Linked DNA regions of Struthio camelus. The protein of the gene in region 2 interacts with the protein of the main gene of each other region in a pairwise test. Links are inferred from orthologs where the notes say so. Each region holds a gene or a part of one and is shown on either strand. Other genes may lie near its edges. The genes, in order: TRA2B and YTHDC1.

Region 1 (15,239 bases), on a different chromosome or scaffold from region 2:
CCAACTGAAGACTTACTCATCATCTAAGAAATTCAAGTGTTTTGTTCTTCATCAGCCACATACTTAAGACAAAAAATCAACAAGAAATGACTTAAGTAAAATAAGTTCCTACTATGGTCAGAGACTAACTGATGTGCTTTTTCAATGCAGAAAGCACACTGACTTATGATTGTGTTACTGTTTTGGGACGTTCTCACAGTTTAGAAGGCCTAGTTTTAAAACCCACATCTATTTCGCCTATACAAGTGTGATTACACATGCAGGGTTCATACTTCCAATTAAATTATGATTTTCCACAGACTGAAAATACGATTCTGTGCAAAACACAAATACTGGAAAAGTATCCCATCTCCTTTATTATTTACTTGTAATTTATTTCAGTAATGACATAACCTAATTATCCTTTTCAATTTTTGTATTTTTAATCAATACAATGCTTAAACTCAATCACATGGCTTCAACTTTTAGTTTGAACACACCAGAAGGAATTTGCTTCAAGATATTAGAGGAAATTTAAAATTCAGCAGAAATCTCACCTATTTGGACATACTTTTTTTAGAAAGAGACCAAATTCTAAATCATAGGTCAAGTCTTGACAATGCTCAATAAAGACAGAGTACCAGAATTTGTCCAAAACTACTTGTTTTACCTATGTAATGTCTCTTGAAATTTCAACACTCAACTTCTCTTGAAATTCTCACTAGTAGCAATTTAAGTATCAAACATTTAAAAATCCATTTGCTAAATCAAACTTTAGTTTTGCTTAAGCCACTTCTATACCACTCAGAACAAAGTCTAGCTATTTACAATTGCCTACCACACACGCTTGGGGGAGAAGGAGGAGCTTGCAGCACAAAGCAGATTTTCAACTGAGCACCACAGAAACAAAACAAATTTGGTCTTGGCCATATTCTTTGCCAAAATGTGCAATCAGCGCCATTACATTATAAACACCTCATTTACTACACCTGCAAAGGTTAGTGCAAGTACTGAAAACTAATTTAAGTCACAAATAGCAAATTTAACCTAAGCTCATTACTACATTAACACATGAGACTTAATTCGGAACTCATCCCTAGGTTTTTTTTTTTTTAAATTTAGCCACAAAAAGTTTTCAAAATATTTTCAGACTTTATATAAAGCAAGATTTGAAGCCAAACCTAAGGCTGTTCTATATTTGAGAAAAATACTTAATTCCCAAAACATTACACTCTTGACAGATTCAGTCTAAAGAGAAGGAGTAAAATAAGGTCCAGAGACAGAAGATCTAATATTGAAGAAAACACAAGAAATGAATGATGCTTTGGGAGCGGGAAGGAAGTAGCAGGAAGAACCACCTTGCCCAGAAGCATACTCCAAAGCTGGTCCCTCCCCCCACAATAATCTAGTTTTTAGAGATACTAGGCTTTGAAGAAATCATTATAGGAGTGGCTCTAGAATAAGCAAATAACCTAAGCTTTCATCTATTTGATACACTTTTTAGGATGATCTTTGCTATCTTATGTTAATGTAAATGTGGAAGTGGACACTTCGCATCTGAGAAGACAACTGCATGATAACCACATCCTAAAACTAGGCAATTGGCAAAATGTTGTGAAGTCCAAAGAAGCTGCATGAAAATAAGCAATTTTTAAACCTACACATTTTTTCCCCTGGAGTATCAACTTCCAAACCTTCAACTTCACTTTTCTTTTTCTTTTTTTCTTTTTTCAGAGTTATGTCACTTCTTTCTTGTTGCAAGCCTCAGAGGAATTAATTGCACCTCATCTCTTCATGGTATTACTAAAACTGGTAATAACCTCTAGAATTGAAAAGCTATTATCCCTCCTTGCCAAAGGAAATCTTCCCTACCTAAATTAGAGCTTTTCAAATATCACTAGCCAGCAGACCTCCAAACTTTACAACGTTCTTCTCTCTACCTTTCACTTAATGAGTTTTTACCTTGTTAAATAAGGTGAAGTTAGCTCCTTGCTCATGACACATGGAAGAACAGAGATAGAGGAAAAAGCTAATTTCTTCCTCCTACCTACATTTAAGCATTGCAGGTAAGCAGATCAAGCTGTGTTCACATTCAAATTTTAAACGCTTCCAGATCTCCAAATAACCACTACAAATATTGATTCCAAAATAACCATTTCTTCTAACCTTGAATTTCTGAACTGCAGATTTTAAGAATCACCAGGTCACTTGATCAGTACCTACAAATCCTATCTACTTCCTCTTTATCATGTATTACCGTAATTCAAGTGGAAGAGCTTAAGTTATGGTTTCTGAATTATTCCTCAAACATGCTTCAAGCATATTCAAACAACGTGTAATTCTGGAGTTTTTTGTTTTTAAAACACCTCTAAGCACATTCATAAAGATGCGTTACATTCATCTCCTCTGAGCACAGAGTGTCACAAGAGCAAGATCATCCTGGGGACAGCAGGTTAAGAAAAATTCCATTGACAGAAGCAGCTATAATGGATGTAAGCTAGGATCATGTGCTTTTTGTACTTCCAAAACCCAGTTTTTCCTTATAGCAATTAAATATAGCAATTAACTATAACAGGCAATAGATTTCAGTTATTTAACAACTTAAAATATAGCCAAACAAAATTTTAATGTTATCTATCCTAAATCTTTTAAACTTAGGTATTTTCACTTGCTTTCCTAAAGGTACAGCCTCACATTGTTTCATCAAATCTAACTGCAGATCTATTAAAGGTGTAATTGTGCTAACTGCACACTCCAACTTCTCTACTGCTGAATCCAGAGAAATAACTGCTTCTATCTCGATTCCCACATTTGGTTTCCAGGGCCTTGGTAAGCTGATTCTGACTCACCCTGAAGCCACCCCATCACCAGATCGCTGCTGGGGGCCGAGAATCCACTATCAAGAGGGAAAGCAGTCTGAATACCTTACAGAACCCGCTCACTTCTAGTGTTTTACTTCCAAGACCTTATAAATTGGCTCTAACAAAATAATAAACAGTACTAATATAAGCTGAACTCAGAGATGTAGCATTTTCTTTCCAAAAATTTCAAATCAATGCCTAAATACTTCAGTTTATGTAACAGCTTCCAAATGGCATCAAAAAATAGAGAATGTGGTTTGAAAAGCTGAGCTCAACAGCACCAAAACCAGCTTCCTTCCGCTATGTCTGCCATTCACTCTGACCTCAGCTGATTCAGTACACTAAGCTAGGAGGAAAGTAATCCAACAACAAAAAGCAAGTGATTTTCTGACAGCTTGGGGTATTCAATCAGCTTACCAAGAGGTCAGATCAAGTGACAGATGGTGAAGGAAGAAAAAGGAGAATACCCATACTTTGGTGGCAGCAAGCTATTAGATTGTTTCTGACCATCTCAAACTGCTTCCTTAGAAATAAATTATGGAAGAAGTTCTAAGAGATGATATAATATTCTCAAAAATGCTGACTTTACCTTTTAAGTGATCTACAACCATTCAAGGTACTTTGACTGTAAAAAAAGAAATCTGGCTATCAGATTAAACGTTTTTTTCCCTGATCAGACACATACCAAATAATCATTGTCAGGATTAGCTAACTCACAGGAGACTCACTATTTGGAGGTTCCAAATATTCAGGGAATAAAGAAAGCAAGACTTTTCCTAACCAGCTTTCTTTCCAAGCCTTCTGTGCACAAATTACAACCGTATCTCAGGATTGAACAAGTTTCCACAAATGAATAAAAGTGACTCGGAAGAAAGTGGCAATCTGTCTCACTGCGTGCTGTCAGAAGTCAAATATCTGAAATACTGGCAGCATTTAATCATTTATTATCTCTTCAATTTAAAAACGTTTTCAGAGTTTAAAATCACTATGAAGTGTAAGCTGCACGAAACAATTTGAGGGGGAATCAATATCATTATTATTAGTTTAAGTCATGACATAAGCCAATTTAAGGTTCAGTTGCCAACGAGACACCAAGTCCCACTACTTCCACCAGCACTTGGTTATTTCTTCTCCACTGACACTAAGGCTCACGTGGCTATACAATCAGTCAAGTCTGTGAATCAATGCAGCTGGAAATTGATTCAGAATATTAATTTCAGCTGATTCAATTCCCAGATCTGACTGACTACACCACTTCACTGGCAGAAGGGAAGGAGCAGGAACAGAATTTCAGGAGCGTAATTCTTGTTGGCAGCATAGGCTTGGAACAGTTTAACAGCCAGCTGTAAAGCCATATCCTAGATTATTTATCCAAATACCATTCCTACTCTGAAGTAGAGACTTCAGAGTCCAGCTTGAAGAACTAGAAAGCCACTGACTGGGTAAAATAAAAGCCTAAGCAAGCAACAGATATCCGTAAGTAACACTGGTACAGCATTAGAAAAGCCACTGCCTGATCTAGTCTACAATAGCAGGCTTGTAGCTAAATGATTGTACTTTTCACTTTTACAAGCATGTATATTGCGTAGGACTTACCTATGCACGAGTCACAAAAGTTCAGTTATACAGAAATAACATTTCTCTGAGCAAGCTCTAATGGGAGATAACTCATCCTAAGCCTTCATTGTGGAGACTGCCTGAACATGATTTATTTTTTTAAGAGATTCAGAAAAGATAAAACAGAGAAACGGGCACAGGGAAGAAAGCACAACAGCAGAGCAACTGCTGTTCTATCACACCCTGCATAATTGTTTCAAAGACTTTACAACAACTATTTTAAATATTTCCATTCATGCTAAACAAAGATGTAGGTTACCCTGACAAACTGCACTAAAATTAGGCTATTATCTTAAATTGGTTTTCAATCTGACTTGTATGGTAGTAATTAGAGCTCTCATTTAACTAACATGCAGTAATCCATCTTGAACAAGTCAGAAGTAATACTCCTTTGTAGAAAATCCACTGGTTGTAATAATATGAAAACATTAATGAAAAACAATGCTGGGAGGAAGGGGCGTATAAATCTACTACTCTTTAGTCCCTGTTTTTCAGTGTTCAAAATCATCTACCGTTTTTAGCTTTCAGGAGAGGAGACCAGATCTTTCTAACCTATCTGGAAGAAGTAACGTTGACATACTAATAATGCTTATTAGAGTGAATCTGAATAAGAAAACCCCATATTAACCAAAGAGAGGCATTGCAAAAATACCATTTCCTGCCTAGTGTTATTAAATTCTCTGAACAAGTTTTTTTTGAAACCTCCAAGGAAAGTGTAAAATATAAACTAGCCATCACCTAAACTCCTCCCTTGGATGCTGCGATAGCTTAGCGGAGTACGCTGAAAATAAAACAAAATGCAATATTGATTCCTGTATTGCACTCATCTGTGGCAGCAAAAGACCTCAAAGGAAAACAATGCTGTTTCCCCCTCCCACCAAAAACACAAAAATCCCACCCTTCCCAACCAAACCCAACTACACATACTTTTGAAGTACAGATTAATCTGTAACACAAACTGTCACAAGTGATCTGCAACTTCAAATTAAATCTCACCCAGCCAATAATGTTTTGCAGTAACTAGTTTAAAAATATCTTCTACCATACTGCAAGTTTCACAATGCAAGCATAGAGAATCCTGCCTTAGCACTATGAGAGTTGATGGTTTGAGGTTTAATGTCTGGCTACTGCAGTCACCTTTAAGTTAGAGACCAAGCCACCCGGATGCAAAGCTGCAACTCCATCAACAAGCAAAAACAGTATTTTACAAGCAAGCACAAAGCACAGCAAGTCAGAGTTGAGCTTATGAAGTAATGCACTAAAAGCGAATTGCAGTGCGGTTTTGGAGAGAGTACAATGAAAGACAGAACTACTACCTTTTCGCATTGTCCCTTTCTATTCTGGTGCTAAGTAACAAGGCTAAGGGATGCATGACACAGGCTACAAAGACAGCAGAACTATGGACCGTCACCACACCACCAGCCGAGGCAGCCGCAGCGCAGCCTACTCTCACCCCACAGCGAGCTCAGAGGCGCTCCCGACGCCCCCGATCACACGTCCGCAGACCTAAACAGGGCCGGCGGGAGCGGACGTGGGCCAACAGCTTGGCGGGAGGCGATCAGGAGCACATGGGTGGGAGAACGAAGCGGGGGCAGGCTGCTTTCTCCCCTCACCCCCGCCTGGCAGAGCCGCCTTAAAAAACGGCGGCGGCCGCCCGGCCCCACCATCAGGACACGGGAAGCAGCCAGGGGCTCTGCTCCCTCACGGGCCTCGCGGGGAGCGGCAGGTCCCAGAGCCCGACCGCGCTCGTGGCACGGCAGCCGCGCCGGGCCGAGAGATAGCCTAGCCTCCGCGCTGCCGGCCGCGGGTCCCAGGACGCGCAACTCGACCGCTCTCGGCCATTTTGTCCCTCTCCCGGAGCGCCTGGTCACCAGCCCAAGATGGCGTCGGGAAGACTCACCATGGAGCGGGCGGGCGGGCAGCTAGAGCGTCCTCGCCGCGCGCCCCCATTTCCTTTCACACCGGGCCGGCGGCCATTTTCCCGCGCCAAACCCCAGGCCCGCTGGGCCTTCCCGCACCCTGCGCCGAGGCTTCCTCACAGGCCGCGCAGCGGCGACCCCTCCCTCAGCGGATCAACTGCCCTCTCCACCCAGGGCCGCGGAACGGGGACACCGGGAGCGGCCGCGCCGCCGGCAGAAGGGCGGCGCGAGGCCCGGCCGGGCTGCGCACTCAGGCTCCGTGTATTACCCGCTCGCCGTAGTTCTGCTCCCCGCTGTCGCTCATCGTCCCTCCTCACAGGCTCCCAGCGACCGCTGCACCGACCCGACCGTCCCCGGCGCCAGCCCTGTCCGCAAAGGAAGTGACGCACGCCGCGCGCGCGCGCCAGGCCCCGCCCCTGGCAGCGCGCCGCGACGCACGCGCCCTACGCCTCGCGCTCGGCCCGAGCGCGGGAGGAGGTGGGGGGAGGAGGAGGAGGAGCGCGAGTTGCGCGCGTGCCCCCTCAGCGGGGCGGGGGGAGGGGCGGGGGGGAGGTCAGTTAGTGCCGGGCCGCGCGGCCTTGTCGCGTACAGCCCCCTCCAGCTAAAACACCGAGCGGGCTCGCCGAAGGTGCAGTCGGTTCGTGGGAAAGGCCCCCCCCCCCACACGCACAGCAGCAGCGAGGGCTGCCGTGGGTAAAAATTGGCTGACAAAATAATTTTCGGTGAGCAGGTGTCACCAAATCAGGGAAAAGTAAAGATTTTCATCAGGAACCAGTGTTAGACCCAGTGTTACTTCATAAATGGTCAGTAAAGGTAAAGCTGTTGCTTATTAAGTTGGGTGCTAAGTGAGGGATGATGAGGGGGGTGGGCGTGTAGAGCCTTCTGGACCATGAGGTAACGTGTTTTCTTTGGAAAATACATCTTAACAGAGGCAAAACTGGGGCTCTTCAGCTTCTGAGAGAAAAATGTAACAGCAGCCAGCAGTGGAAGCTGATGCAATTCAAATTGAAAAATCGAGCACATATGACTCTGTGGGACTGAAGAACAAACCATTCAAGCAAACCATGACTTTTTTTCTTCCCTTCTGTCTTTAAGCTAGGAGTTTTCCCAGACTGTATGCTTTAGACGCACACAACTCAGTGGATTGGATTCTGGTTTTCATCTTTTGCTTCTTGAGGCCTAATTTTTCATTTTTTAATAGTGGCATTGGCAGTACACAGACTAAAGCAAACCTTCTTACCCACTCCTAAGGACTCCACCTAAGCACATTGGGTAACAATTTTCTACAAGGAAGGCTGATATAACTGATAAGGACAGGGTTCATCTACGAAATGCTTATGAGAATGTGTAATGTCTGTAACTGGTTTTAATGCACAGCATGTTGTTATATATCCAGTGAGGCTGGTTCATTGTACTATATTTGGCTTTTCAAGAAATCCTTCACTGAAGATTCTTGAAGACAATAAATTTGGCAAAGGATCAGAGGGAGGCACTCATTAATTTTTCTGAGTTAATCTTATGGTGAAAAGATTGGAGGCAAGATATGGGAATAAATTATAATTTTTTCTCAATGGTAGGAGATTTTTTCTCCTGTGACCTGTGCTATTCAGCATCTTCATAAATGATATGGAAGAGAGATTACTGTGGGGCAATAAATCTGTGGGTGGTGGAATATTATTCAGGTTAGTTGAAAGCGAAGCTGAGAAACAACAGCAACAATAACCCTGAGTGACTGCGTGATACAAGAGCATGTGAAATACAGTTGATAACTGGGATGCAATGCATGTAGGCTTTTTTTTTCCCCCCAGGTTACACTTGCACGACAAGGGCTCTTAACTAGCCATTTCCATTCAGTAGCAATATCTTGGAGTTGCCAGAAACAGTGTCTTTAGAGCTCGTCAAAAAGGCCCAATGGCTGATAGGAGTTGTAGAAAGGGAAGAGGACGTGAAGTGGAAACTATCATGTTGCCATTGTACTCTTATTACAAACACCAGATGCAGTTGTGGTCACCCCATTTCAAGCAGAAGGAACGACTTGGAAGGGTTCAGAAAAGGAGACAAAAATGATTCATGGATGCATTCCAGAAGGAAAAAGAGGTCTCTTCATTTGAGAGAGAGGTAATGGAGGCATAGACTTCTGTCATGCCTGGGTTTCCCCAGCAATCCTCTTTCACTGGAAATTCTTTCTGGGCATATGGATATCTGGCAGGCCACTTTGGGAAAAATACCTCCCAGCTGGGCTTTCTGTGCCTGCTCCCTTCTCTTTCCTTGATGTGCTGCCTTGAGACACTGGCCATGGCTTTAGGCTTAAAGAAGATGCAGATGTTCACTTTGTGACCGGCCTTTTATATTTGCTCTGATTTGTACCATCGTCCTTGCCATGCTGTCGAGAGTATCAATGCAACTGAGTCTGAAATTCCCTGCCAACAATGCAATGTCAGTAAATAAAATGCTGGCTCAGTTCAGCTTGGCTGGTGTGGGGCAGAACAGTCCTTGAATCCTGTCCACACAGCAGTGTTTTTCAGCAACTAGTCTCTGTTGGCTCAGAATTGTGATTCCCAACAGAGCTGTGTTTACAGCCTGGCTAGCAATAGCTGCCAGGAGGGTGTTGAACTGCAGGGAGGGCTAGTAGTCACATACTTCTGCCTCCAGAATTGGAGAGAGTGGCTCAGGCAAAGGCATTGCTAGTCTGATGGGGTGGTGGAACTGAGGGGGGAAGGCAGGGGACAAAGTGATTTCATCCCTCACCGAGCCTTCCTTGTGGTTGGGGGTGGAAGGGTGGCCTGGGGATTGTGGCTGACACCATTTTGTTCCCATTTATTCATGAGGGTTTTTTTTTCAGTGCAGGCCAATACTGTATCCCTGCAATGAGAAGCACCCAGTGAGGAGCACAGCCCTGCCAATACTAGGACCAAGGGAAGATCCAGGAGTGGGAGGAAGTGTTGGATAAGTGCCTCAAAGTGGCAAGTGACCAAAGCTAAACTTTGCTAGCTCCTTGTTGATGTGGAATAACTGGTATTTTGCTTCTTGCTCACCCTTCTCCCAACTGGTTGGGGCCACCATTTGAGACTCCAGCTGGAGCTGGAAATATTAAGTGACAAGTGATTTTGGTTTCCAGCAACGCTATCTGAATGAGCAGGAATTAGATTCTGCCATCTTCACTTACCCTCAAAAAGCAGCTGCAGAAGGAAGCGCGCCTGCGTTTGCTGGCTTGCCCTGTTTCTTGCAGTCGTCACTGTGAAGCTGTGCCACAGAAAGAGCTGAGTGGAAATTGTGTGTGGTAGCCCCATGCTGGCTTGGTTTTGCTCCTGGAAATAAAAATTGGAGCTTTCCACAACTGACACAAAGAGACATTTGGTTTGTCCAATCCCTGGTTTATTTAATCCCTGATAACAGCTTTCAGAAGGATGCCTCACCCCTTGCCCCCAGCCTTGGCTTGTCAAATTCAATACCTTACTAACTATTTCCATTAAAGGGATGGTAGAAGGCATTTACTCAGGGAAGGTCTAAAGGAAGCAGGGCAGCTTGGAAGACAGGGGCAACCACAGATTCACTGAAAGTCCAAGCCCTCGCTGCTCTTCTCTCTGGGTAGGGGGGAGGCAAGGAAGTGATCACTCGAGAAACTATGTCCTGAGGAGCTGTCTTGTCTCCACACAACTCATGCTCTGCAGGGTGATCATGCCCACTTCTACACTTGAAGCCTTTCACTTAAAAAGTCTTCATGTACAAGTCTGAGGCTTTAAGTGCAGAAGCGGTCAGCGGGGGCAAGGACCCAACCTGAATGTCTGCTAGAGGGGGGCGTGGTGGGGAAGACAAGGCCCAACCAGAGAGGTTGCTGGACAGGACCTGACTACTCCACAGAGCTTAAGTGAGTTGTGTGGGACAAAGAAGCCCCACTAGATTTTTGCTGTGTGGCGTGGAGGGACAGTACCCCATGATGGGTGCCAAGTACTAGCCTTTGTTCTGGTTCAGCCCTGGCCATGCTGGAACATCCTCTCCATGTTGTGGCTGGAGGCAGAGAAAGGCCCCAGTGTTCAGGAGGAGTTCCCTCTGTGTGCCAAGGGCAGCACATTCCTGTCCAGTAAGGGCATGCGAGCCATGCCGAGGTTGGTCTGCTCAGCCCTGATCTGGGCACCAGCACTGAGCACCCATCTGTACCACAGGGCCAAACATCCCCCTGCTCCTGTTTAGTGGTAGTGAAGCCAGCACAGGTTGCCTCCGATGGGGACCCCGGCAAACCAGGGAAGGGCACACGAAGGGAGTGTCTGCAGTTGCCACTGTACCAGGCGTTACAGGCCCTGCAGAGCAGCGCTGCCTCTATGCCAGGCTTCTAACTAAACTTTTTACTTCATAGCGAAAACAATTTTAACTACAGTTTTATGCTAGACATTTACAAGGCTAATACCACCTACCTTGGTGCAGTGATAAACTCTCCATGACAGAGCAGCCCCCCACACAGGGGGAAATAGCCAGCCCCAGGGCCCACCAAAAGGGAAAGAGAGGGCTCTGGGCTGCAGTGAAACGCGTAGGAGTCCTGTGGACAATGAAAGGCAAAGGAGGGTTTAGGCGTGCACTGAAAAGTAGACCATAGATCTTTGAGGGGACTGGGGGACAAATGTAGAGCTCTGGGACATGCTGAAAAACACACAGACGTCTCCAGGAGGGACTGAAAGGCGTATGGGAGGTTTCTGAGGGGACTAAAGGGCTGGGTCTATGCCCCACTACCTTTTACTTTGTAGTGAAAACATTTTTGCCTACAGCTTTACTGCTGTATGCTTTTGACTAGGCATTTAACGAGGCTAATACCACCTACCTCACTGTGATGTAAAATCCTCCATGACAGAGGAGCCTCACACATGGTCTCTAGGATGAATTCTGCCCCCTCTCTACCTGCTCACAACCTATCTGGTCAGCAGCAGGCCTATTCCTCCCCTTCTGCTTCAGACCAGTTTCCTAGCAAATGTCTTCATTGCAGACTGCGTTCCCTGCTCTACCACAGGTTGCCTGTAAGGCCTTTGGTCCCTTCCCTTGCCTCTCTGCTTTGGCTCCTCACTCACACAGTGACCCCCGATCGCAACTCTTTTGGCTGGGTACTTCTACTTGCAAACCCTCCTCCCTGCTGTGACCATGAGAAGGGAAAGGATGGAAAAAAATGCAGACCAAACCAATGAGGGTTTACAAATCCCAGTTCTCAGATGGTGCTGAAGAGCAAGTATTGACACAGCGGAGCCACAGCTAGGCCCTCCCAGCCTTCTATTTAACCCTGACCCTGCTGTCCTATTTCCCCATCCAGCAGCCTTAGCTCTACTTAGTATCTGGTCATTTTTTTTTGATGAGGTCCTTTCTTTGGGCTGCACTAGCTGGTGACCACCTGGGCTTGGAAGACGCTCTATCCTGTGGGATCAAATATCGTTGGGAGAGGGCAAGGCAGAGGTATAGAGCCTGACAAGTGACCCCTTCAGAGCTCCGTAATATTTGCCGTGACCTCAACTGGAGACAGGGCTGAGATAGGCCAATGTGTGTGGGAAGGCACATACCATTTCTGTAGGACACGAGTAACAATTCAAGGAGGAAAGAGAAGTCCCATGAGATGCCAGTGTAAGACCTTGTTCTTCTCTTCGGCAATTTTAACACAGAGTCTGCTATCTGTTCACGCGGTTGCAATACTAAAGGTCGCAGAGAGTTGGACAGAGATGTCACAGACCTTCATCCCTCATCTTTGATTCCTCATGAGAACTTGACAGAACTATGTTGCCCAGACAAACATTTCAGCACTGCGCCTGTTGACCTGCTCATAAGGAAAGATGCCGGGAGCTTCAGGGCCATCATTAAACTCTTGATCAGAGCACAGAACCTGCAAATTACTTTATGCCTTGATTTGCTTTCATGGCGAGAGCCATGAAAATGGCCAGTGTTGCTAGAAACGGTTTTACTCATCACTCATATTCAGAGCAACTGATTTGACATTGTTAGAGGACCACATGACAAGGACCTCACACTTCTGTCTTCCTCACCTATTTTTGCTCAAATTTTTCAACATCAATCAATGCAAAGTAGAGCAAACAGCTTCTTCCCTTCACTACAGCATGTCACTCAGAAAGTGGCTGTGGCATTGATTAATACTACCAACATCGCTTTGGCTTGTCTCCCTTGGTTCCTTTAACGTTTACATTGTACTTGCACTGCTTTGTCCATGCACCATTCTGTGCACTGTGAGCGCTGGGCAGTTGTACTGGGGAATGTACTTACCCTAATGTATCCACTGAACAGGTTAGGAAAACACCAAGCCACAGCATTTACATTTTGGGAAATATGCACTATAGGACCACAACCAAGTCTGTAGATGTGAGAGGAATGCAGACGATAGGTGCTTGGCCAAAGGGTTTATACAAGATTCTGGTGTTGGGCTGTCTGTGTATGCTCACCTTCAAAAGCCATTCAAGGATTTAAAGACTACTGACATTTTTGCAGTCATAGATGCGAATTAAAACAGGCAGCATACAAGAGCATCAAGTCAGCCCTAGGAACACTTCCTGACAGGCTGGCTGCCTTTAAATTTAATTCATACACACATAGACAGAAACTGTATTTTGTAATATTCCCACACCAGGAGGAAGAAATGAAAAGCCTGGCAGAGCCAGTATCAGAAGCACCATGACACTGAATAGCGTCCAGTTGAGGTCCAAGAGATGTGGCAATCCGAATATGAGTGGCGGCTATGCACAAATGAGGAGCTGCTATCATCTCTGCTTTGCAAGATGCCAAATTTTGCCATAGGCTGGAGATGGCACTTACTTGAAGTTTGTGAGGCAACCTCCTGTCTTTCTCGATCAATTAAAATAAATCCACCTTTCAAAGTTTGAGTTTTATTATGGAAGAGTTTTTTAAAAAGTCACTGTGGTTGCAAGGGTCTTTCTTAGAGCAAATGCCCAAGAGTATAAAAGAATTAGCTTTGTACATGCTGGCATTGAAAATTGGGACGTTTCTAAAAAGTCCACTTGAGGGCAGCGTAGCACCACTAAATAGTCATCGTTGATTATGTACTTGAATTATTTTTTCATAAAACATGGCAGCCATGATGAACCTTGCAAATGCATCTCTACAGAGTAACACATACACCTTTTTTCTCCGTCAAAAGCACACCAGCTGTCACTGACTGTCATCACAAACTGAGCAACACAAGCTGATTGTAAAAAGCACCATCATCCACAAAGGGGTAACGTTGCTCTGTACTTGTGCATATATTAAACAAGTTTTTGTTCAAAAATTACATGGATTTAAGGACAGAAGTAAAAGTAGATCCAGGCAAATTTTCTTGTCTTTGTCAGGATTCAGATTTATTTATGTCCCCTTCTCCATAAGCAGTCTGAATTTGCAAGCCTCCATAATTAAAAAAAATTTCAATCTAAATTTCAGGAACAAGTAAGTGATAGTATAGGCACGAACAAGGAATTCTGCATCTTTTCTCCTTTCTTTTTTTCTTTAAAGCAACTTCTCTTCCTTACACTGCTGATAAAGAAAACATATGCATTTTGTATGGCATCACTTAACACTTTCATCAGCCTCAGTTCCCCTGGCAAATTGAATGAACTGAAATGACTTAAAGTACATCCCTCCAATTTAAGCAAAGCATTGATTGATTCAGTATTCTTGAAATAAAAGGACTTGTGTGAGGGTTTAAATCTTAAGACAAAAGGAGTCACACCCAGGTGGCAAATACCAGTGCACACCTCAAACACTTCAAACAATGCAAGGATATGGGAATCAATATTTGGGCATGACTGAGAGGAGTTAAAAAAAGTAATTGCTGAACAGAGCACACCAAGATGAGAAGAGCTGTCAGATCAAGGGGATCACCTTGCAATAAGTATCATAGAAAGCACCAGTGTGCTTATTGAATCACCAGAGAAATCAAGCTCACAAAAAAACCCCTAAAATATATGTACACAAATGCACGCAACCTGGGACACAAGCATGAGGAACTAGATCTCCATGTGGAATCACAGAACTGTGTCAAAATTAGAATAACTGAGACATGGTGGGCCAGCTAGCACAACTGGAGTACTGCAATGAAAAGATACACGTCAGGAGACAGGCGGTAAGACAAAGAGTTAGGATTGCCCTCTATGTGCAGGAGCAGCTAAGACAAAGGGACCTCTTCTATGGGACAGATAACAGGCTAGCAGAGAACTTGTGGGTCAGGAGAGGAGAAGTCTCTTCTGTATCACAGACCCTGGTTCTCATGGGAAACTTCAACCTTCCTGATATCTCCTGGAAGGGCAACATGGTGGGACACAAGCAGTCCTGTTGATAAAGGTACTTAAGGGGCCAAGCAGAGGTGATACACAGCTGGATCTGCTGGTCACTATCAAGGAAGAACTGGTTCAGGACAAAATAATCAATGGCAGCCTGGGTAGCAACCATGAAATGGTGGGGCTCAAGATCATGAAGGAAGTGAGTCCAATACTCCCTGACCAGGTTCTTTTAGATATTTCACACATGGAAAGTGTAATTAAATATCAAAATGTACTTCTTTGAAGATATTTGATACACAGGATTTTTGATTTAGCAGAATGATACAGCAATATACTGAAATCACAATACAGGTGTAAGCTACACTTAGCAAAATATAGCAATTGCAATATACGGTTCAATCACAATACCACTGTGATTCCCATTACTGGTCTCTATAATACGCTTACCATCACGACACTTGGCATCCCCAGTTGCTGGGAAGGAATACGTGGGTTGAAGTCAGCTCAAGCCCACTGCTCTCTTCGAAATTCTTTTTTGTTAGTTTTTCAGTTTTTATACTCTATGTTGGACTGAGCCACATATACACTTCCCCTAATGCTGGTCTGGC
Region 2 (16,071 bases):
GCTCTCTTCCTCTCCTTCTTTTTCTCATCTAAAAGCCCCCAAAACAAACAACAGCGGTATCGTAAAGATCAAGTGGCAGACAAAAATCAGATAAAAAGTACTGAGACAGGCAAATAATATCTGTAACGAGGAAGTTAGCATTTGGCTTGCACATGAAAATCCTGGTTGCTCTCCATAACGCTCCTCCCAGAATACCATGCACAAAAGAAGAAAACAATACTCCAAATTTTCATGCACGAAAGGAAGACAAACATCTAAAAATTCCATGCAAAGGTTAGAATTCATTTACGAGGTGTTTAAAGCAAGGGTGTTCTCGTTCTCCTCTCCAGCCTTTAGCCAAATTTGCAACACGCACAGCACCAGCTGTGTTGTGATAGTGATACTGCCTCTTGTTTGCCCAAAGCTCAGTAAAATGGCAAGAGCTATGAAAACTAACCACTGTGGCACATAGGCAATTATTTCCACTCTCAAAAGAGTTAAAATTTTATGCAGACCTTTCAAGAATAATTATTATTGCTTCACTTGTCTTAAACTACACCTTCCTGTTCTCTATTTCCAGACAGCAGAGCTTAGCCAAAAGACTGGGGTTAAGTTATACAAGAGGACCACATATGCAGACTTCAGACAAGGAAGCTATGCAAGACAAATCTTAACAAGGCTGTAAGCCTTTTTCTTATCAAATAAAACTATGTCACAAACTCTCCAGTGTGTCCCACTTATATTACAGAGATCACCTTTTTCAAGACTCACTTAATCCAAACTCTTTATGTCTACTTATACAAAGAGAACTAGGTGGAAAAATTTGAGCTATCATGCAGAAAAAAGGGGTTTGCCATGAACCTGAAATTTTCTGAACAACGCCGTATTTGTGACATTAACTGATCCTGACTTACAGAACGAAATGTTATAACAGACAACTGCAAAGCAACCGTTTCTCGTTTCTGCTTAAAGCATTTTTTGGTTTTAAGCCTGTCTTAACAGCTAATCGTTTCAACCTAGATTTTGACTTCTGATGCTGAAGGCAGCCAGTATTAAGACTCAACTATTTAATATAATCCCTTCTTCAGGGAGCTAGTACTATGTCTCACACCACTCTACCTGACCATTCATCTACATGAATGCAGAAAAACTCACCATCAGCTTCAAGTGAATTCATTGCATAGGAAACTAAGCCATGAGATGCATAAGGAAACATTAACTCTAACATTTGAAAGTATTAAACAGCAAAGTAGAAGCAATTGAGCACTACGTTTCTTCAGCATGGAAGTCCTGAAATCCACAAGTCTTGGTGTAAAAGGATGCTACTTTCTAGTATAATTCTCCTTTGCCTACTGATATTTCGTTTTACATCCTACTTGTGCTTCCAGGAGTTAGTTTTGACGTTGGTCCTGAAGTGGTATTTGTAAAAGCAACCAAACTTTTAGTGGTGAAGTATTTCAAATTGGCATGCCAAAAGTTACCTACCCGATGCATCCGAACCGGAACCAGATCTGACTGACCCATCTGTGAATGATGCGGATTCAGAATCAGAATCACTGGCTTCACTTCGCGTGTCATAGTCATTTCCTTCCTTCTGATCTCGCTCATCCTGTTCATACTCTTCTTCGTCCTCCTCCCCATCTTCTTCCACATCTTCATCCTCCTCCCCTTCATCATCTTCCTCTTCCTCCATTCCTTCCTCCTCGTTCTCTGTATTGCCTTGTTCAGAAGAGCCACTACTGCCAGTCTCATGATCTGAGCAATACTCTTCAGAATTCACCTCTTCTTTGGAAGAATGGCTGGATCTGCTTGGTCGTCTATCCATATCATGCCTGATTCTCTGATGTTTAAAAAAAAAGTGAATCAGCAGTCATAAAACATTGTCAGGATGCACACACAGTCCTAAGAGAATGTGCCTTATAAAAGTCTCATATAACTGTTTTATTTATAAGGCAGCAAGAACATTTACTACCTCTGAACCATCTGGTGTGGAAGACTTTGCCCTTCTGTCAATATCCCTCTTCCGCATGCAAGTTTTTTCTGGTTGTCCTTTATAAGGTTCCCTGGAACTGCTTGACATGCGCATCTTTCGATCACCATCTGGACGCTTGTTTCTATCAGGCCTCTGATATTCCTCATTCTTGTATTCTGATACTGGCTTTCCTTTCGTACTCACTATTCTCTTGTTATTGCTAACTGATGAACTAGGTGGCTTTGGCACCATTTGCCTTGAAGAATGCACAGAAGGTTTTTGTCTTTTGCTTTCAGCATTTTCCATCCTGTCACTTTTTCTTTTTGATCCTTAAATAAAAAGAGATATCAAGTTCAATGTTATTTTGTGTATCAAACTGGAAACTGTGCAGAAATCCCTAGTTTCTCTAGACTGATAATTCTCCCAAAGTCATAGGTAGCATCTTCCAGTTTTAAGCTTCACCTTAGTATGTTTTTTCTACAGTGATACCCCAAACTGCTCATTAGGAACAGTCGATATTCTGAAAATATATACAATTTAAAAATAGCAATCAATTTTTCAGGCTTTCATAGGCTTTAACACTTTCTAGATTTAATATACGGGGAACATTAATTCCAATGCTTAAGGAATTGTCCTAAAGCCAAATTACCAACTGAGCAGGACCAGACTTTGAAATCCTCTTGCTCCTTTTATGTTTCACTTCATTGAACCGAGAAGTACAGTGATTTTTCTAGCAGCAAATACACTCACAAAAAGCCAAACTCAGCAACTCCTTCTGAGACAAAAGGAAACCAAATTAAACATCTGTTCAAAGTGTCAGATGAGAAAGCAGATGCCCACGCAAGACTGATCTTTGGAACTCTTTACTTCTGTGATACAGGCTGTTAAGAGCTGTTACTTCAAAGACTTTAATCCTGTTAATACAGATGTTTTTACTGCCTACTTTCCTGTAGGACCTCCAAAGTCACCTACCCTTTTTCTCACTTTTATCTTGCTCACTATCGGGGTTATATAACTCATCATCTTGGTCAGGAGCATCAGTCAAAATGTCATCCAGAACATTGAGTTCACCATCTGAAACCAAAATACTTAAGTTAAAAAACGCTATTAACAGTCTGAAGATGCAACCTACAGTATAACTAGTATTAACAGACCAGAAATTTTCCCTTAAGTTTATGCACCTGCCATACTGCGAAATTAAAATCTTCTTGATTTTGTTCACAACGAAAAGGATCAATCAAAGCCAATAACAGTAGTAAAATATGTTACAGGATACCCTTAGGCCTCCAAATAAGGTCTGAGCTGGCTACTCGTGTCACGCAAGCTTTGAAGAACAGTTGACCTACAAATGAATGGCTTGAAAAAAAAAACTGTACAAAATTAGACAAAAAGGAAAGTGGGAGGTAGCCCAAATGCCATAAACAGAAGAGGCACCTCTGTCCTCAAAATCCTGAGGAAGGGGACTTACACCTCAAACTATTTCCCTTTCTCCCTTGCTATTTTATTGTTGTTGCTGTATTAGAAAGGGGAATTTTGTGGTTCACCTACAAGGACAGAAAACCCAGCAGGGCAAAGGAAGATAATAAGATCATAAGCCATGGTGCTCCAGTGAAGAGGTAGAAAGCAGCACGTATTTGCTGCACAATTAATTCTGAACTGCTCTGAAGGAAAACTAAAATCAATTCACCCTGACCAAAAGGCATCACAAGTTTAAGGAAATTAATGCTAGAGAAGTTGAATGACCACTCTTGGTCACACAACTCTTTAAAGTTGTCATTGTTTCCAACTGTGCTTCACTTTGATTGAAACCCATGGGAATATATAGTGATTCTGGTAGATGAGGGTTTCATCAGATATAAGACTGCAGATCTATATTCCAGGCACTTTCAAAGTGAGAACGGACTAAGCATGAACATGCAAAGGGATAAATAATAGAAAAGGCATTAATTTCAGAATTTCATATGACTTCTAAACTCTGGAATTCTTAGCTCTTTCACTCTATTTTACTATCAGCGATTATACTTTCTGCGTTTACTCATTTCAGGGAAAGGAGAGCAAACTCCAAGGATTCAGCTAGTTGACGACATCTGTTAAAGACACATTGTGCAACATTATGAAGCAGCACGTAAGGACTTCCATGCTGGATGAAATCACAGGTAAAGCAGCAAACAAAATCCTCCAAGGTTTGGCAACTTGACTATCTCAATATCTTAAACTGTGCCACAACAAAGACACAATTCTCCCATTCCATTGGGAAAAATATTATCATTTTATCTCTGCTATATATGCCTGCATCTGAGTTCAACACAGTGTGCTAGCTTCCCTGCTCGCATTTCCCAGATGATCCGTGGCAGAGGAACGTAGAAGTTGTCGTAAAACTGCACAGTTACTGCACCTAATGCAAAGGAAGCGGTGCAGAAAGGTAGTCTGAGCCTTTCACTGGCAGCTTGCCATTAGAGGACGTTTAAATATAACATGAAGCTACATCATCATTCTCTTGGGAGCAAATATTCACATTTGTTGACACCTATATCCCCAGCAAATACTTCTGCTGCTGTTGATGAGAGATGTACAGCCCGGAATCTGGCTATTACAATTGCTAAATATCTGCTGCAATTCCATGGCTTAAATTGTGCTTCCCCATAGAAGACTAGGCAAGTTTACAAATAAGATTTTACTACTGGAGACCAATGAAAAAGAGGTGTACTAGGCTCAGAATATTCAATATATCATCCATATCAGACCACAAACATTGAACCTCAGGGTTGTTCCACTTCTGAGGAGGCAACAGTACACTTGAGCAAACTACATTTACCTTAACTACTGCAGTAGCATTCAGAGGTGTTAAGAGATTGAGGTAGCAGCTGGTCCAGAAATAAATGAGAAGGTAATGAAAATTTAATGGAGGAAGCAAGTCTGACATAGCCTCTGTGAAGAATCCCTTCAGGGTTAGAGGGGCCTGATTTATAGTTGGAACCTTAAACAAAAAAAGGCAGTCTGACCACATGGTTCTCTTCTCTCCCTTGCCCCAGCTCTTCTTCTCAACTAACTTCTGTGAGATAATTCCACTAACTGAACTGTCACTGTTAGCGCTCAACCTGATTAGCAAGATAAATTGGCTCAGAGAGGGCAATCAGGAAAACCACAAAAGGAGGAGCACAAAAGGGGCAGAGGGACAGATTTCTCAGTTCATGACTGCTAGAGGGGAAGGTCCAAAGGGGTACCTCTTCCATTTCACAACAGACAATCCCAACTGTGCCCTCCTGCAACACATCTTGTGTTGACTCCAGGGTGTGTTGGACTCTTCCGTGAACAATTTTAACTCACCTGAAACAGCAAAAAAGTAACCCAGGGAAGGTTTTTTTCTCTGCTGGCCATGAGAGTTAAATCTGCTCAAGGAAGGGTCCAAACAAGCATCTGAGTTGGCAAAAGAAAGGGTATAAGATCAGGCGACTTAAAGCAGAAAGGATAAGCGAGATTTATTTCCAGTTTCCCAAAGCAGTGAAATAGCATTTCTCTTTTGGAAGGAGCAAAGAAACAACATCACATTTACAGTGAAGACAAGTTCAGTTACAAATGAATGTGCATTAACAGCTGCAAATAAGTAATAATCATAGGCCTCCCATAGGGGAGAAAATTAAAAACAGATTAAAATGCGAAACATAAAAATGTTTTTCGGTTGCTACTCATATCTCAGCCATTATCAATAATTAAAAAAACAAGACAAAATAAGAAAATCCAAGCTAACCTGGATAAATCGTAATATGAAAATGAATTTACAGAAGGCAATAGTAAATATTTCATTTTCACTGCTCTTCTCCAATGGAAGCTCTAGCCTAATTGAACAGAACCTAGTCATAGCATGCCTCACAGTTCTTAAATGCCAAGTTGCTAATGCTAAGATTCAAAAAATCAGAAATAATTTTACTCATTAGCACTAACAAAATAAAACGGGAATTTCTGACATGATCTACTTTCGCAAGGAATATTAGACATAGCAAACTTTCACCGCTTTGAACAAAAGACATTTTGCTGCATCTATCCTACAAAAAATCTTCCATGAAATGCATCCCATGGAAATCCAAAAGAGAGTAATCAGCGATCCTTTACTTTTATTCTATAATAGGTTACATTGCTATTATTTATGCTAACCACCTAACAGCAATCTTCCACAGTTAAACGATGCTTTCATTTTTTAACAAATGAATTTAGTGAAGGCTAATTTATAGAAATCAGTTTGTCATAGAAAGCATATGCATCATGTCAGATTCTGCATACCATGAAAATTAGCAGTGTTCTGAATATACGTTACCCTGGAAACGGTCAACTTTCATTTCAAGTATATTTACCCACAGTGCCCAGTAAGCATAACTGACTCTGCACAAGACAGTAAAATAAAGCAGAAAATATCACAAAAAAGTGCAATTTAAGCTTCCAATTGCAAAATTATAGCCCATATTCCTTCATGGAAAATCCTATTAAAAAAGGATGGCTAGCCATCAGAGAAGAAATAAAACAAAGCTGATACTTTCTGTTGGAAGATAACCAGTAGCAATCGACAGCTTATACTGAAACATGTATAAGCAGTAAACTTATTCTTGTCCCCGCTGCTCGAGTCACCTTGCCCTCAGCCCGCCGCCGCCGGGCACCGCATTACGGTGCGACAGCCCCAGCACCTCAGCGCGCCCGGGAAGCGTTTCACCACACGCAGCACCCCTCTGGGTGCCGAGGGGCCCCGGGACGTCTAACAGTTGTCGAAACCGCCCCCACATGGCGCCTCCAACCCCCGCTACCTCTCAACTCTCCTCGCAGACGCCCCCCAGGGCGAAGGCCCAGCACCAGCAACCGAGTAGGCCTCGGAAAAGGAAAGGGGGCTCGGGCGATGTGGTGCCTCCCCCACCCGAGCCGTTTCCCCTCACCAGGGCCCTGCCACCGCCCCCAGCCCTAATGCCGGGTACCTTTCTCCTCCCGACTGTCCGCCGCCATCCCGCCGCCGCGACGCGTCGAGCGCCTAAGATGGAGGATCGCTCTTCCTGCGCGGAACGATTCCCCCTTCCCACAATGCACCGCTTTGTTTACGCTCTGCGCGTCACAGGACGATGGGCGGAAAGGACGGGAAATTCGCCCGGCGGCGCACGCGCAGTGCCGCACTCCGGCCGGGGTGAGGGAGGAGGTCGAAGAGAGACGTGCCGCACGGGGGGGGGGGGGGAGGAGGGAGCGAGGGGGCGGGGCGCGCGCCCATAAGAGCGTGCCGAGGCGCACACGTCGCGCATGCGCGTCGCTGCGCGGGGAGGGCTGGGGGGGGGGGGGGTGTTAGGGCGCGTGTCGTTGCGTTCTGAGGCGGCGGCTGTTGGAGTCGGTGGGCCGCCGCCTGAGTGCGGCCCTTAACGGCCTCGTATGTTGGAAAGGGAGCTGTGGGGAGCAGGGGAGGCTTCCCTTCCCCCCCCCCTCCGCCCCCGGGCTTGGGGAAGTGCTTGGGGCTGCTGTTCTGCAGGTTTCCTGTAGCTGTGTGGATGGCTCTGGTTCCCATCAGATGCGCTTGCAGCAGCTTTGTGGGTTTTTTTTCCTTCTCCCCTTCCCTCAAGGGGAGTTGTTTTTTCTTGCTCTCGGCAATGCTTAACTTGTTTTAGAAAGTCTCTGTTCAAATATGAAACAGGTGTGTTTATTAATGTGAGGTAGCTTTTTAAAGTAACCTGTGGTTAGTGCGTGCTGCTCACCTGCAGTAACATAGCTCACAACTGTTACTGTGTCATCTTAGTAACCTTTTGGACAGTTTCTGAAGAGGCCGGACACTGAGTGCCCTAAAGCAGTTTGATAGGGCTGTGTGCAACCTGAAATGGTCACGTGAGAGCTTGTTTTATGCACTATGATGTTTTAAATCCTGTTAACTAGCACACTGCAGAAGTGCTGCCTGCCTTTTTTGACCTAGAGAAGATGCATAGCAAGGTGCCTGATGCTGTTGACTGAATGAAGATTCGTGTTTTAAGGCTGCAGGCATTTTGCAGGCTAGTCTGATGGATGCAGCCAGTCGACTCAATCCTTAGACTTGCTCCCTTCAAAACAAAGCAGTTGCAGTACTTTTTTCCTCGTAATCCTCAGGCTGCTCTTATAAAGTGGACAGGTTAGTAAAAACGTCTGCTGAGAACAGTAGCTATTGATTAGTCCAGCCTAAAACATTGGGAGGAAACATCTTCTTTTTTTTAGTGATGAAGACTAGAATGCAAGGTGTGCCTTGGGCATTGGTCATTGTTGTCTATCTTGCTTCAAAGCAGAACCTAAAATAGGATAAAAGCATCTACTGGAAAAATGCAATACTTCTGCAGAGAGGTCATAGAAGTTAGTTAGGTGGACTGAGGACAATGGTGAGATGGTTGTGATGCTTACTGAAAGAGATAGCAAAGTACGTGTTCTTCAGCTTTGTAGTTGATACTGGATCTGAATAAAGATTAATACTACACCTGTGGGGCTCTGACTGATTCAACACCTGCTCACCCCATGGGTCTTTATGTTCTCTGGAATTGCATCTTGTGAAACATGCAGTGCTTGTCACTAGTAGTTTTGCTGACACATCCTGAAGATGTAGTGAAAGACAAACAATTCTCGTGTGCATGTACCCATCACGTGAATTGGGTAAGCAGCTGTTGGAATGGCCTTTCAGCTACCAGAGTGCATGCCTCAGGGTTATTTAGCATGCAGCATTCATGAGCAGTGTCTATGTTCTCTAATTTTACTTGAAATTGCCTTGTGGTATTGCTTTACTAGGTATTCTGTTTACTGCTTTTGATAGAACCTGAGCTGAAAAAGGTACTGACCCCCAAAATTGTGTGTATCTGCATATAAGCCACTAGATGGTACCGTTGACATGAGTTAACTGGAAGGGCACTTCATCACAAGAAGCTGCAGCTTATGTCAGACTGCGTACTTCTCTTTGAATCTGAAAATCAGCAAGACAGCTTTGGAGAAAGCTGTTTTACGTGTAGCCTACCCCTTCTGGTAGGTTTCAGCAAAATCAGGTGTGACATGAAGTGACAGTTCAAATAATGGTCCAGCACTTTAATATGTTTGAGAAGCAAAACAGAAGCCTGCAACTGAGGATGGCTGCTGAAGCTTTTTCCAAGAGCATTGCAGCTGACTCTTCATAAGCCAGTGAACTAGGGACGTTTCCAGAGGTCCCTTCAAACCTCAACAATTCTGTGATTCTCTTATCGACAGGCTCTTGCTTAAACCTCATATGGTAAGGGAGACTCTTGGGTGCAGCCAAGTTACTGCTAACTGTGACTTCCCACACAGATTGCAATGTAGCAAAGCCCAACATGGCTGGGAGGGGAGGGGGAGAGCAGGGGTGCTAAGCTTGGCCCTGGGCTTCCTTCTAGCTCTTGTTATGTCAGAGGTTTTATAGGCATCCTTTTATTTGAAGGACCAGAAAATTACTTTGCCCAAACCCGGGTAGAAGGAATTCAGAATTCCCTCGCGTGGGCAGAATGCCCTTCAGAACCAGGTGCTGCTTGGAATTTCTGTCCTTAAAATTGCTTATAAGGTCTTTCTAACATCACAGTCTTAGCTCATTTGTCAGTGTTTTTATGCAAACGACTGCTGATGGGTGTTCTCTGAAGACTGTAGCTTAGAGGTGAGTACTGTTGAGGAAAGTCTAGGATAACTGAGTATAATCGTATCTGGGTCAAAGACGAGATTCCTCTGGAACGGTGATCTGTCTGCGGAGCTAATGTTGCTAACAGACTGATCAGAAGTGACTAAAGCTAGGGTTTCTGTTGACTCTTGTCCAGACCATTAATATGAATAGGATAGAGTCTGGATGGATTTGAGAGAACAGATCTGGATGAGTGAAAACTAAGCTTTTTCCCAACCAATGCAGAAGCAGAAGAAAGTGCTTTTGGACCTGCTTTGGTGTCAGGCCTTCTCTCTGTCAAGGGATTGGCTGAGGGGTTGTTGCTGACTACTCAAGAGGTACCTTTTGGTAATTGACTTTTTTGTGGGCCTAACGCAGCCTATGTAACTTGAAACTGTGGAGCACCAAGATGAGGTGGTGATATCACCTTTGTGAAGTATGTTGGTTTATCTAAGTTAGGTTAAACTAGGTTAAAAGGATAAATCCATTGATTCAGAATTAGTCTCCCAGACTGGAGGACAAGGCTTGTTACCTCTCCCATTCTTCTTGAAAGGCAGACTTTTATGGTGTGAATTGGTGGGGAGCTGTGCAAGTAGCTGGTTCCTGGAATGTGCATCTTCACTGATCTGGCTGCTGTCTGTCTTTGCATGCAAGAGAGCTATAATTTTATCAGAGAATGGCTTTTCCGATAAATTTATACAGTGTAACCATGTATAGTGCTCTGCTAAAGCCTGATACCTTTTATGATTGCATGCACACTGGTCCTTGTCATCTGACTACGACCTTGCAAGTGTAAGGTATAGGTTATAACACGTATCATCCATATCTAGTTGTACTCTGACTATGCCTAAAAGCCTTTCTAAAGCTAGTACTCTGGCTGTGTCTGCCCGTAGATGATGTTTGCAATGAAAAGTTCTGATTTTTAGACATAGCTGCACAGAGTGTTGACAGAGGCTTGCAGGCATAGATAGGCATAAGGTATTTTTACGTAGCTTTGCTTCTGCTTTGTGCCTTAAGTAGGCTATGGGAGGTGCTAGGGCGGAAGTACAGCTCCTGTGTCTTTTGTTCCTGCAGCAGCCTGGGTGCACTGGCAGTAGTGTGCTTCCTGTTTACAAGGTAATTACAGTATTCTGGACTAAGTGTATGCCAAGGCCAAGTACTTCAGGCTGCCGAGTTTATTGGCTCAGGGTATTATTACTGTGTAAACAGGAAACGCTCTAAAAGCATTACTCCAAAACATTTTTTTTAAATTAAGTTGATGGCAGAAGGTGCAAAAAATCTTAAAGAAAACGAAAGTACTTGGAGGAGAAGACGTTTTTGCCCATCTTCCAAAAGATCTGCGTTTGGCTGCTGTTCCCCGTTGTTGTTCTTGGTTGTTTTTGTTTGTTCCTTATTCAGTGCTGTTTTCTTCCCTTGAGGCTTCCTTCTCCTCCCCGGGTACTGTGATTCTCAGGCTGAAATGTTAAGGATGATATCTGTTTGCTGGCACTGGGTTTTGAGGGGGCTAAGTTTTTTCTGAATAAAAACATCCAAAAATGCTTTTGGAAGTGCTTGTTGCAATGCAGTCTGATGCTGGAGAGCTGAATAGTCAGTGACGAGTGACTCTGGTGACAAGCAAGGTAGGGCAAAGCTGAGTATGTTGAATGGTCCGATGAGGCTGCTCTTGTGGAGCTATCTGAAGAATTTGCATTTGACAGTCGTTACTGTGATTTATCCTTTGTTTTAGCTCTTCGTGCCCTGTTTGAACACGCACACTGTAAAAAGACTTTTTCCCTCAGTTGCCTTCTGCCATCCCTTAAAGTAAGGTTAGATGATGTAGTTGAGGCAATTGAGAGTTTTCCTGTTGCAGCATAGGGCAGCCCCCTCTTCTGTCTCTCCCTCCCCTTGCTTTCAGTTGTGCTGCCCCCAGTTCTCATCGACTCCTGATTCAAATTGCTAATTTGAAAGAAAACAGTTTCAGTTTTCTCTCCTGGATGACTTTTCTGGAATGTGAGTTGTATTGGCTTATCAAGAGGTGAGATGAGCGCAGAGGAAAGGCTGTCCCATTTCAGGAACAGCAGTGAGCTTTTAGATACGCTGCCAAGTTGCACCATGGTTCAGCCAGACGGAGTATCTCTAGATCAATCCCATACTGAATCAGGAGGTGGCAGCATGTCACACTTGGTGCCTGTTTTGATCCCAGACCAATGTGAACCGTTGTCTTTTCTTTTGCTGCAGGAGCTCCAGTGGTCAACGATGGTTATCTTTAGAAGAAAGGAAATGCAGGGCCTGTGCTGGATGACATACATGGAAGTGCTGCTTTGCCTAGCTAGGTCATGTCTGGAGATGGCAGGATTTGTTCTAGTACATATTTTAATTGATAAGCTTTTGTTCCTTGTGCTGCCAGCTTCCCTGGGAAGAGGGATACTGTAAGGCTGTGGTTAAGGTCATCCCTGAAGTACTTTTTTCAGATCTGATTATGACATTTGCATTTGCTTGGCCTGAATTCAGCAGGGTATTTACAGAACTGTTAGAGCTCCTGTTTGAGTCTTATGGAAGCTGTGAGGTTCTCATCAGATACTTGAAATTAAGGATGGGCTTATCCTCCTTGCTGGATCATGTTACAGTTAGCTGTTTATTGCTCAAGTGCTCTATACTTGGAGCTCAATTTGTATGCTGCATTGCACTGAAGAGGAGAGGGATGTGTTTGATATTCCCTACTCCCTGTCCTCTGTCTGCCATGATTTATGGTTGCTGAAAAGTGCAGCTGTCTTAGTTGTCACCTCACTAGAAATGAACAATTATTCTATATGATGCAGACTGTCTAGGCCAGTCAGGTTGGGGGTTAAAGAACAGGCTTGACAAGACTAGGTGTCCCAAAACATGGTACTGTGATGGACCCTATCATTAGCTAGCTAGCCCTACCTTAACTTAGCCTGAAATAGATGTATAGCACCTGACAGTAACCAAGGAATTTTTTTTGGTCATAAAAATGAGTATCCAGAACTCTGCACATCATAAGTAATCACACCCATTGACAGCAATGTAATTTAAAGCTATACATGACTGACAGATGCTGGTTGATAAGATATAATGGAGAGAAGACATGTCATGTTCTGCTGCCTTCTGCCTGTGTGTTTGTCTTCTGTCCTGTCCCAGGAAAAAAAAAAATACGGGAATTTTCCTTTCTAATAGTGCAGACTTTCAAGCTGGAATTGCAGAAGAGACAGCCCTGTGAGCTCCTGCTTGGGTACCAGATTGTAAAGGTCACGTTCTCCCGAAGGCTCAGCTGTTGCAGTTCGAGCTGAGTGCAGTGGGGGCTTCTGGATGCTGACAGTTCTGAAAGTCTCCTGCTTAGTTTCCAGCTGTGAGGAGCTGTTCAGTATCTGAAGTCTGTTTTAAAACTTAATGTGATTGCTGGGACAATGTTGTTCTGTGGGTGGGAAGCCTTCTTCATGGAAAGAAGGAAGCATGTGCTTGGCAAGTTTGGGGTTCTCTTTCATAAGCAGTTATCCGAGAAGCCTAACAAAAGTGAAACCCAGTTTTCTATCTTTCTCTTGCAGCATCTCTGTTATCTATTGAGGCATGGGCATATTGGCCTCTCTCTATCAACAGGGGCAGTAGCCACTTTTCCTACCCACTCTATGAAACTTCATAGTTTCTTCATAGAAACTTCATAGGACCTTCAGAGCATAATAGAGATTTACTGGCAGATGCCTACTGCATAGATGTTGCTTTTAGGAAAAGAGGTTCAAAGTAGCAGCTGCTCGGGGGCTTGGGTGGTTAGACCAGTATTGGTTGAGCGGGACCAAAGGGTAGGAGAAGCAGCTAAGAAAAAGTGCAGTGCATCTCATAGTTCTGCAGTGTGTTTATCAATCATGTCTGTATGCGTGTTTAGGTAGAGGTTGTAACACGTATCTCTTGACCTAAAAGCACGAACCCCACCAGAATGGTACAGAGTGCTATGTAGTTCATTAAGAAGGGGTGCTATGTGAAGATATAATAGACATTAGCAGTTATATAAACAGTTATTGTCTTGCTCCATGCATGGAAACATATGGATAGCAGACAGTGTGAGACATGTGTGCGTGTCCCACTCAGGAAATTCTGTTATTTGCAATATTGTTCCTTCCCATGTTTGGGAAGCAATATTGTGCTTCCCATGTCATTACAGTCAGACCCTCAGTTGTAACTGGGTATTTGTACGTTTATATTACCAAAGCTATGCTGATTTGCACTGGCTTAAGATCTATGTTCTATGTTCAGCCAAGGTACAAGAATTCACTGTGCTTATTTGCCAATGACTGCAATATGCATCACTATCAGTAGAGTTACTGCTAATAGTCACTTTCATTTCTGGGGGGTTCTGTTACTGTGAGAGACATAGCTTTTCCTGTGTTTTGTTCCCATGGAAGCCAGGTTGCCCTGTCCTTAACCTTTCATACCAGCACCAAAGGAGCTGTTAATGACTATGACGCTCTGTGTTCTCATTTCGATGCAGGTTTTAACTTGTCTCTTGCTTTTGTATTCACCTTGTCTTCCAGGTGAATCACTGCTGTTATCTGGAATCACACCCTATTTTTAAACCACAGTGCTCTTCTGTTTCTAGGGCTACTGAAATACTTGTGCTTCATAGGATTGGAGTTTAAATTGGCTCATTCTTTGTGCCCTATTTCAATTGTTGTATGTTTTTTTTGGATGGCTACTGGGTTTGCTTGTTCATCAAACGCTGATCAGTGTTCCATCCCTGGATGCTTAGAAACTTGAGTCATCTTGCAAAGTTATGAGATATCATAGATGAACACTAGAACAATAGAAACTAGGTCTGAAAGCATGTTGATGGATCATCTAATTCCTCTCCCACAGGGATAATCAACTACAATTAATGTACCCCCAGTAGTTGCTTGTTTGCAGAGGTTTCAGGATCTTTGTCACTGAAACTTTTAAGAACAGGTCGGACAATTATTTTAAGTGCGGACAAGTAATAGTGTTTTTATTGCATTCCAGTTTTAGAACCCATAGGGTTCATATTTTGCTGCTTTGCTGCACTGTAAACGTTAAAGAAATGAAAACTAAAATTATCAAGAAGTAACTTCAGTAGTGAAGTGTTGGAATAGAGGGAGGAAAACATTAGATTCTGTATAAGTGATCAGAATAAGCATTGACAGGACTGGGTCTGAAACCTTGATCTCATGTAGCAGGCTTGTTTCCGTATGGAATGGAAAAAGCTGAAGGTCTAAGAAATTGTTCATCTTGGGAATGTCAGCGAATTAGATTCAGAAAAGGTGCCTCTTATTTCAGGCAGCTCTTTGACCTGTGCATGTGTCCCTCTAAAATCAGTTCAACTAATATATTTTAAATCAAGTATGTGCTGAAGTGCTTTTGTGTGCTTGGAGCCTTTAAGCTTCCCTCAACTATACATGTCACCCTCTCCCCCCCACCCCCCAAAAAAAGAAAAAAAGGGAGGGGGAATGAATCATCCTTGGAAACCAGTGGTGTGGCAAGGCTTCCTGTGAGGCTTGATAGCCTTGCTGAAAAACAGTGATTTGCAGGGAAGACAGCACATGTCAAAGGTAGCAGCAGGGGCCTTACGTAGCTACTGGTCTCTTCATTTTTTTTCGGAGAGAAGATATTGTGGAAGCAGGTTGTAAAACAGAACAAATGGGAGATGTTTGGGAATGGATGCAATAGTGGTTCGCTTCAGAAGAATTTAAGAACATGTCTCAGCTTCTCAGAGCTGTTTGCTGGGAACACCTACTCATTAACCTTCTTTATAAGGCTCTTTGTTAATGCAGCTGAAGAATAGTTTGTCCTTTACTCTCAGATTTGGTTCTTTATCCTTTTCTTGTTGCACTCACTTGCTTCTGCAGCCCATTGCAAATTGTACTGTGAATGGCCATTTGTCCTCTGTGTCTCTTTTTGCTCTTCCTCTGCCACCTGCCTCTCACTACAAGACACTGCCAAGCTCTGCTGAAAAGCAGTTCAGCTAAGTACAGCTCACCTCCCCTGACCCAGGTGTAGAAATTATTGCATGCTGAGTGTTCTTTTTTTTTTAGGCATAGCTTGCTGGGCAATTATTCTGGTGAGTCACTTATAATACATAGGTCTAATTTAATCTTCAGGGTTTTTGTGGTTTCTCAGTTTGTCAGCACCGTGGGGTCACAAGCTCCTCATCTAATCATTTCTGATGCAGGATTTACTGTTTCATTTTAGGGTACTTTTGCAGGCCTCAGACTCCTCAGCTATGTGGAAGTGTAACAGACCCATATAAACATGGCTTGTTTCAGTACTTCAAGTTCTGGCTCCTTTCTTCAGAAGTACCTTGCGTTTTCCTGGAAACAGCACAAGCCCAAGTGTCTTCCTCTACAACTCCTATTGTGAAAGCTGATGCAGAAAAATATGCAGTGTTACTGCACTGTCTTTATCTGCTTTATCCTTGTCCTGGTAGTTCAGAAACCCTTCAGCTAACTGGCTTCTGATATAATGGAAACTGTTTTTGTTCTCTTATTTGCTC

The links.
Region 1: the proteins of YTHDC1 (region 2) and TRA2B interact in binary tests that used the Homo sapiens proteins (3 or more experiments, as listed by UniProt). The link is inferred for Struthio camelus from reciprocal best matches to the Homo sapiens genes YTHDC1 and TRA2B.

The regions. Positions count from the first base shown.
Region 1 is NC_090950.1:3,144,312-3,159,550, forward strand, and holds the start of TRA2B (transformer-2 protein homolog beta), read right to left. Parts: upstream 6,883-15,239; 5' UTR 6,681-6,882; coding exon 6,645-6,680; intron 1-6,644. UniProt on the Homo sapiens protein: Sequence-specific RNA-binding protein which participates in the control of pre-mRNA splicing. Can either activate or suppress exon inclusion. Acts additively with RBMX to promote exon 7 inclusion of the survival motor neuron SMN2.
Region 2 is NC_090945.1:5,368,729-5,384,799, reverse strand, and holds the start of YTHDC1 (YTH domain-containing protein 1), read right to left. Parts: upstream 7,048-16,071; 5' UTR 6,938-7,047; coding exon 6,910-6,937; intron 5,369-6,909; coding exon 5,279-5,368; intron 3,026-5,278; coding exon 2,924-3,025; intron 2,281-2,923; coding exon 1,952-2,280; intron 1,820-1,951; coding exon 1,465-1,819; intron 29-1,464; coding exon 1-28. UniProt on the Homo sapiens protein: Regulator of alternative splicing that specifically recognizes and binds N6-methyladenosine (m6A)-containing RNAs.